Linked DNA regions of Canis lupus familiaris. The main gene of each other region encodes a partner of the protein of the gene in region 2 in a complex. Links are inferred from orthologs where the notes say so. Each region holds a gene or a part of one and is shown on either strand. Other genes may lie near its edges.

Evidence for each region. The genes of interacting proteins can lie anywhere in the genome.
Region 1: PFDN2 (region 2) and PDRG1 share a complex: the UniProt entries of both Homo sapiens proteins name them as parts of the PAQosome complex. The link is inferred for Canis lupus familiaris from reciprocal best matches to the Homo sapiens genes PFDN2 and PDRG1.

Annotation. Positions count from the first base shown.
Region 1 is NC_049245.1:21,881,864-21,885,550, reverse strand, and holds the end of PDRG1 (p53 and DNA damage-regulated protein 1), read left to right. Parts: intron 1-1,580; coding exon 1,581-1,661; intron 1,662-2,236; coding exon 2,237-2,319; 3' UTR 2,320-3,171; downstream 3,172-3,687. UniProt on the Homo sapiens protein: May play a role in chaperone-mediated protein folding.
Region 2 is NC_049259.1:22,183,242-22,187,376, reverse strand, and holds the start of PFDN2 (prefoldin subunit 2), read right to left. Parts: upstream 2,818-4,135; 5' UTR 2,751-2,817; coding exon 2,676-2,750; intron 1-2,675. Other genes in the region: NIT1 (deaminated glutathione amidase), read left to right, coding at 2,898-2,899, 3,493-3,591, 3,837-4,091. UniProt on the Homo sapiens protein: Binds specifically to cytosolic chaperonin (c-CPN) and transfers target proteins to it. Binds to nascent polypeptide chain and promotes folding in an environment in which there are many competing pathways for nonnative proteins.

The sequences.
Region 1 (3,687 bases), on a different chromosome or scaffold from region 2:
AGTTGTCCAAAGGTGGGCAGTCTAAGACTGGCACTGAGATCCAGCAAGGTCACCCTCATGTATTCTCATAGTGGCTGTGTCATCTCAGGCCTCATGTCCATAGGCCAGGCTGCAGGAGCAACAGAGGGCTTTCCATACATGGCCTTGCTTTCTATTTCAAAATAATGCTGTCGTCCTCAGAGACTTTTGACATCTCATTGGCCAGAACTAAGTCATGTGGCCACCATAGCTGCAAGGGAGCCTGGCAGAGGCACTTTTACTTTTCACATCCCCTGCCATAGAGATTGCACTGAAAATGGAGGTTTGAGGAGAGTGAGCCTCTAGAGTGTGCCACAGCCTGGGTACTTAGCATGTTACTCAAATCTTCGCAGGCATGATCCTGGGGGCTCTTTGGAGGAGCATCATAAAAGTACAAAAGGGAGGGTACAGATGGGTCCTTGGCTGGAAAAACGAAAGATTATGCATATTCCCCCATCAAAAATGTATGTGCCAAGAGGACCAGCAAGTTCGCCTCTGTCCCTGAAGGCAGAGGCTCCCTATCCCTGTTGAAATAAAATTATAGCAAAGGAGACTAGATCACCTTAGAGAAGTTTCCACCTTCCTGTTGAAAAAATACACACTACTGTTATGACTATAAAATTAAGAGTCGTCATTGCACTTGGGTGGTGGGCTGCTGGCCACTCAGGTTCTCAGCTGTCTTGGCCCACAGTTGTGGGTTGTTGCCATACCTAGAAGGATTCTGAGATATTATCATCACCAGTTCTTAGGGGTTGATGCAAGTTAAATAAGCTTGTAAGAGACTAGCGTTGCTCATTTACCATGAGTACTAGAACCATTGCCCAGGCCAGAGGGCTCGGCTGCTCAGAGCTTCTCTCCATCAGAAAGAATGAAAATCTGTGGAGAAGACCAACTAGCCAGCACTACACTCATGAGCAGGTGAAGTCAGGTGACATTAGGCAGTTGCATCACCAAGCTTTGTAGCCTGTACTTCCTATAGTGCAGTTTGCCTTCAGATGTGATCCATCTGGGCAAGATAACCTTTTCTGTTCACCACAGTTAATTAGATTAAGCTTGAGCACCTGATTTGCCCATTGATTGTTCAGATCACATGTTACTATGGTCATGTTGCTTAAAAACTGCTTAGGTTTTTGATGGACTTAGGTTTGTAAGATTCCTTAGCCACACTTTGTCCAATCATCTTGGATGTGCTGAGTCTAGGTTCTTCATTCTGGTCTGATGGTTCTGTTTTCTGGAATTTCACTGTGGGAGGGGGTCCTAAAGTCCAGATATTGCCTTCTCCACCTATGAGCAGCCCAGGGTACATTGCATAATGAAAACAGGTCACTGGATGGAGAGGCGGGTGCTCAGTTCTGCCTGGACTCACTCAGCCGCCTTGGGCAGACCACCTCCCTTTCTCTAGCCCTTTAGTTCCTTCCTCAGTTGGTCTCTGAAGTCCCCTTCTTCTCGAATGCCAGGAGCCCTTGCTTTCAAGGAGGCTAGGAGAAGCTGACTTCCCCAGCTGCCTTTGGTCAGTGTGTCTGTAGTATAACCCCATCCGGTGCCCACCTCATTTTTTTCAGATCAGGATCATCTGGATAAAGAAATAGAGAAACTCCGGAAACAACTTAAAGTGAAGGTCAACCGCCTCTTTGAGGCCCAAGGTATGGGCCTGGAGGGAACTGGAAGCCGGGCTGGGAGAGAACTGTCAATGTGGGAGGCCTTCCTAGGTAGGCGGGCGAGGGCCTAGGCAGCATGTGAGCCGCACAGAGGCTATTGGCAGGCCCAGAGATGGAATGGACAAGGTTTATGGGGTCTTATTCCTCTCACGAGTCTTTTTTCCAGCCATAAGGGGAACAGTCTGGGGTATCTCACATTATATCCTGGGCGTGGTATAGGAACCAGAACAGTTCTGTCTGAGGGGAACAGAGAGGGCCTCAGTCAGATGGTCAAGGTCAGAGCTGAACTTCTGGGTAAAGCTAACCACTCCAGATTGGTCACAGGTTTGGCAGAAATTGGTAGGTTTCTGGGCAGCAGTATCATGGCTCTGCAGGTTTTCGGTGACTCATGTGCCCTGTCCAACGCATTGCAGAATTTGAGGCCCTCCCCCACTAGATCTTGGGCCAAGTGTTTGGCACATGAATGCAGCATAAACCCCTTTCCTGGGCCTGACTCCAGAGCCAGCAGGAGGTTGGACAACAGGAGGCCCAACTTGCTGATGATTGTTTTCTCCCCCTAGGCAAGCCAGAGCTGAAGGGTTTTAACCTGAGCCCCCTCAACCAGGATGAACTTAAAGCTCTGAAGATCATCTTAAAAGGATGAAACTCAAAAACCAAAATGAGGGATCTAAGACAGCATCCCCCCTGAGGTCATGGCGGACCCAGGACTCTCCAACTTTGTAACCTGCAAGGACATGAACTACTCTGCTAGGAGATAGGCATCAGGAGTCTGAGCATGAGAAGCCTCTGTCTGTGGGGATTGGCTGCTCTGTGATGGCAGGAGGGAGCCCTCAGCCTGCCAGTGTCTGTTGGGTCTGGCCACTGGAGTTGGATGGACACAAGACCCATTGATAGGTCCTGGCAGCCACCAGTGGTGGGTGGGGGCAGTGCTTTGGGGGTGTGAGAATGACCGAAACAGGCACTTATAACAAGAGCCTGCTGTTCACATGGGCCCCTGGCAGTGGCGGGGGAGTGACGGGGAGCATGATTCCTGCATTCCTTTCAGGAAGAGAGGCATTCTCAAACATCATGTAATGGACTTGGAATAAAGCAGGAGGCTCACAGGTAGGTGGTTTCTGAAAGGATAGAATCTTGGTGCTCCATCGTTCACCACAGCCATCTGTGGGGCAGACATACCATTCCCCACCACTGCCTCCACTTTGGCCCCTTTTTTTCTGCTTGCCCCTCAGATGGAGCCCAGAGTGGGTGCTGCTTATCAAACTCCTGCACTTGCTGTTTAGTCAGGAAAGCCTTACAGAGTTCTGTACTGGGGGTGGGAGAGGGAGCTGCCTCTTCATGAGGCCCTCCACCACCTCTGAAGGCTGGGCCTGGCCAGCACCACTCAGTTCCCGCCTGCCCTCAGTGGTCTCGGATCTTGGTGTGAATGTGCTGTGAGGACAGCACCATCTCTTTAATGTTCATTGAGGGCTTAATAAATGTTTCCTAAATGAATGAACAGGAGCTTCTGTTCTTTACCTAATCTCATTCTTAATGGAGGGCACACTGCCTCAAGCACACCACTACAAAGGGGCAGTGGCTCCTGCTGGGAAATGATAGCAGGATTAGATAGGCAGTAACAGTGATGGCGGCAGAATGGAGAGCACGTGCCTCACCTGGGTCCCCTCACCCCACTTGGCTCCAACCCATAATTATATGGAAACACAAGCTGGTATGGCCAGATCTTAACATTTGTTTTCAGAGAAGCTAGAAATTTGGATTTTTAAGTTGAATCTTTTCTGTCTTTTAAATATTGCTAATGCAGACATTTTTAAAGACTTGGGTGTTGGCCAAACAGAATACCTGACATAAGCCAAATTTGACCCATGCCTATGATTTTACATCTTCAGTTTTTAAAGTAGAAGTAGCATGTGTTTTCCCCATGATGACCCTAAAGTGGGCAGGTGGAATTGGAAGCTAGATGTCTGCCCATAGTAGATTAGTTAAACGAACTGATAGCTGCAGACAGTGGAGT
Region 2 (4,135 bases):
CCCAGGGTGTCATCCCAGGGTCCTGGGATTGAGTCCCACATCAGTCTCCCTGCATGGAGCCTGCTTCTCCCTCTGCCTGTGTCTCTGCCTCTCTCTCTCTCTCTCTCTCTCTGTGTCTCTCATGAATAAGTAAATAAAAAAATTTAAAAAACATTTTAAGTAAGCTCTAGGCCCAACATGAGGCTTGAACTCACAACCCAAAGATCAAAAATCACATGCTCTATGTACTGAGCCAGCCAGGTGCCCCAATAAATCTTACATTTTTTATCCAGTGTTCTCTCTGAAACACAAAGGCCATAGAATGTTAAGCAAGAACAGCCTCAGAACTCAATTATCACAACTGCTCGCTTTCTTTGGAGGGCTTCTTCTCTTTCTCCATAACCCCTTAAATATTGGTTCCATCCTTGTTCTGCTGCTTCTTTTTTCAACTTTCTGCACAAACCCTAGATGATTTTGCCCATTACCATGACTTTTTTTTTTTTTTTTAAGATTTTATTTATTTATTCATAGACATAGAGAGAGAGAGGCAGAGACACAGGCAGAGGGAGAAGCAGGCTCCATGCAGGGAGCCCGATGTGGGACTCGATCCCGGGTCTCCAGGATCACACCCCAGGCTGCAGGCAGCGCCAAACTGCTGCGCCACCGGGGCTACCCCCATTACCATGACTTTATCAGCCTTCCATAAGCTTATAGTTCTCTGACTCAAATGTAATTCAAAATTTATAAATCAAACCAACTATTAAATACCTCTACTTGAATGTCCTACAAGAAATCCAAACTCAAAACCCCAAGAGAAACATATTCCCCACCCCCCTAGGCATTTCCTATCTTCCTACATTGCCTATGAACAAGCATCCATCAAAGACATAAATCTGAGAAACATTCTAGTTTCCTCTCTATCCCGTTTTCTTCACATTGAAGTCTTGCAGTCCACCCCATACTTTAAGCCCACCTGCATCCCCAACAGGCCAGAAAGGTTCATGCCTCACTGCTTTTAAGGACATTAGTCTCTGCCTAGGAAATTCTCCACTTCCTTCTTTTTTTTTTTTTTTTTTAAGATTTTATTTATTTATTCACGAGAGAGACAGAGAGAGGCAGAGACACAGGCAGAGGGAGAAGCAGGCTCCATGCAGGGAGCCCGACGTGGGACTCAATCCCGGGTCTCCAGGATCACACCCTGGGCTGGAGGCAAATGCCAAACCGCTGAGCCATCCAGGGGTCCCTCCGCTTCTTTCTTTGCTTGACTAACTTCTCTCATCCTTTAGAACTGAAGGATTATCTCTCCCAGAAAAACAAACACTATACTCATTACTGTGCAAAACACTTTGCATGCATTTCTTGTCTAATAATAATCAAAACAGTGATGAAGTATGAACTGCCAAATTTTTACAAGGTGAGAGAGGGAACTCATGGGAGGTCATCTACACATAATAAATAGCAGAACCGTGATTCTAAAACAGATCCGCCAACCCTAGGGCACTTCTTATGCTCTTAGCCACCCCTCAGAAAGTATTAGGTTCCTTCTCCTTTTCCTCCCACCACAACACACGGGTCGGGGGGCAGAAACTATCGTTCCCCCCCCCCAAAGTCCTGCAGCACTGGGCAGCCCGGGGGGGCTCAGCTGTTTAGCCCCTGCCTTCAGCCCAGGGCCTGATCCTGGAGACCCGGGATGGAGTCCTGCGTTGGGCTCCCTGCATGGAGCCTGCTTCTCCCTCTGCCTGTGTCTGTATGAATAAATAAATAAAATATTTTTTAAAAATCCCACAGCACTTTATACCTGTTAGGACACTCATCTTCGGCCTTATGTTAGCACTTAGTAGGTCTTATTTCACTGTGAGCTCTTTGATGGCGTGGGCCAACTTGAAAAATCTTTATGGAGACACCTTTGCCTGCGGTGACTATTCGACAAATAACTGACAAGCGAGCGAGCCTGCAGCGAGAAGAGCTGTTGTCTTAGGTTTTCCCTTCTGTCGCGGGGATTTCTTGCCACCCAGACTACACACTAGCCCCGCCATTAGCAAACCAGGGCTCCCCGCGCGCCACAAAAGGCTCTCCGGGTTGTTTATCACACGTCTCCCGCTGCTGAGACACTGGGGGAGATGCAAACTCGGGTTACAACACGGTTTCTGGTCGCTCAGGAAATCCAATCTAATAACGACGTGCGGGTCAAAATAGTATGGGACGGCGGACTGCTGGGGCATGCGAGTCACGTGGCTCTGCAGAGTGAGGGCGACGGTCAGCGTGGTGCCGGGGTCACCGAACAGGCCACACGGCCAGCCCGCCGGCTCATCCCCGGGGATTCGTGCCGAGCCGCCGGGCCCGGCCTATCCTGCGGGAGGGTGCGGGGAGGTAGGCAGAGCCACGCCCGCCCCCCGCCCCTCCCCCTCCCTCTCCTCCCTTCCCTCCTCTCCCCTCCCTCCCCTCCCCTCCCCTCCCGCCGGGCTCGGGCCCCGGGCCGGCTCACCCTGCACCCCGGGGGGGGCGTGGCCTTCACCGACCAACCCTCCCGCGCTCTCCCCCGGACCCGGCCAGCTTCTCCGAGGACCCTCCCCTCTCGGGGCGGCCCCGCCACGCCGGGACGCGCGCGGGGCCTGCCCCAGCCAGCGGCGCCGCCCGCTCCTCGCACCGACTCGGGCCCGGCCCGGCTGCCCTCCTTCGCGCCCTCCGCTCCTCACCTGCTCTGCCGACACCGCCCCTTTCCCCGCGCCGCCGCCGCTGCTCTTGCCGGCGCGACCGCTGCTCTCCGCCATCTTCGCCGCCCGCTGCGCTTCCGGCCTGCGCGGCCCCGCCCCCGTGCGTCACATCCGGCCTGGAGGTTGCCGCCCCCTGGCCCCGGGGCCGCCGCTTCCAGGCCGCTCCTCCGGTCGGACGCTGCCGACGGTTTCGGCTCTATCCTCATGTAGGACCCAGCGGTGCACTCCGCTGCGGGGCTTTAACCCGTGCAAGGGAGCCGCTGCGCCTGGGAGAGGCGGAGAGGCCGGGTTGACCGGAGCGTGGGGGCGCGGGCTGGGATGTGTGTGGGTGCCGGTGCCCTTTGCCCCCCACGGGGTGGGAGGGGCGAGGGACGGTGAGCTTCCCCTCGGAGATCGGGGTAAGGGGGCATCCGCTGAGCAGTGCCGCCGTGCAGGTGCCCAGTGAAGGGGAGAGGCTGGGGAGAGCAGGGAGGTTTCTTGGGGATGCCTTTTGAACCGCGGGTATGTTCCCCCGGGCGGGCAGGTGGGGGCGGGGGCGGGGTGGGGGTGGGGGGGCTTCAATCTAATACGAGCCCACTGGAGCCGAGACAGGTGCCGAGCAAAGCCCCTTCCTCTGTCTTCCCACTTTATGAGTCTTCCTGTAGCCCATAATTACTCCCAGTAAGACTTGGTGGGGAGGGGGGGTGTTTCTCTGCGAGGGCCCTGCTTCAGCCTCCCAGTATGAAGAGAGGAGTCAGAGAATCCTGGAAATGTGCTGCTTGAGCGCGGGAGTGGTGTCCTGATTTCTCACCTTCCTCAGGCTGGGCTTCATCATCAGGCCTCCTCACCAGCTCCTGCCCCTTCTCTTGTGTCCTGGACTCCGGATACCTCGACTCTCAGTACTTTGTGCACAGCCCAGGTAACATGTTTTGCTCTGTCCTTGGCGCCTGACACTTAATAGATGTTCAGTAAATGTCTGTGATGTGCATAGATGGTGGGATACACTGGGGTGCCAACCATCACAGAACATTTCATCAGTGGGGAGCCCTGAAAAGCAGAAACCAAAGGGCAGCGCAGCCCTCCTGCTCCCCCACTTAAGACTCTGATTGTTAAATTTGCATTTCCCCATTCTGGAAGTCTGAGCCCTGCCCGTGCCATTCACAGTCCCAGAGCCATGGCTATCTCCTCTTCTTCCTGGGAACTGCCGCTGGTGGCTGTGTGCCAGGTAACATCAACACCAGACAAGCAGGAGAACTTTAAAACATGCGCCGAGCTTGTTCGAGAGGCTGCCAGACTGGGTGCTTGCCTGGCTTTCCTGCCTGAGGCATTTGACTTCATTGCAAGGGACCCTGCAGAGACACTACGCCTGTCTGAGCCACTGGGTGGGAACCTTTTGGGAGAATATACCCAGCTTGCCAGGTATCAGGGAAAGGGGGAGGGAAAGGTAGCTTCCTTGTTGGGCA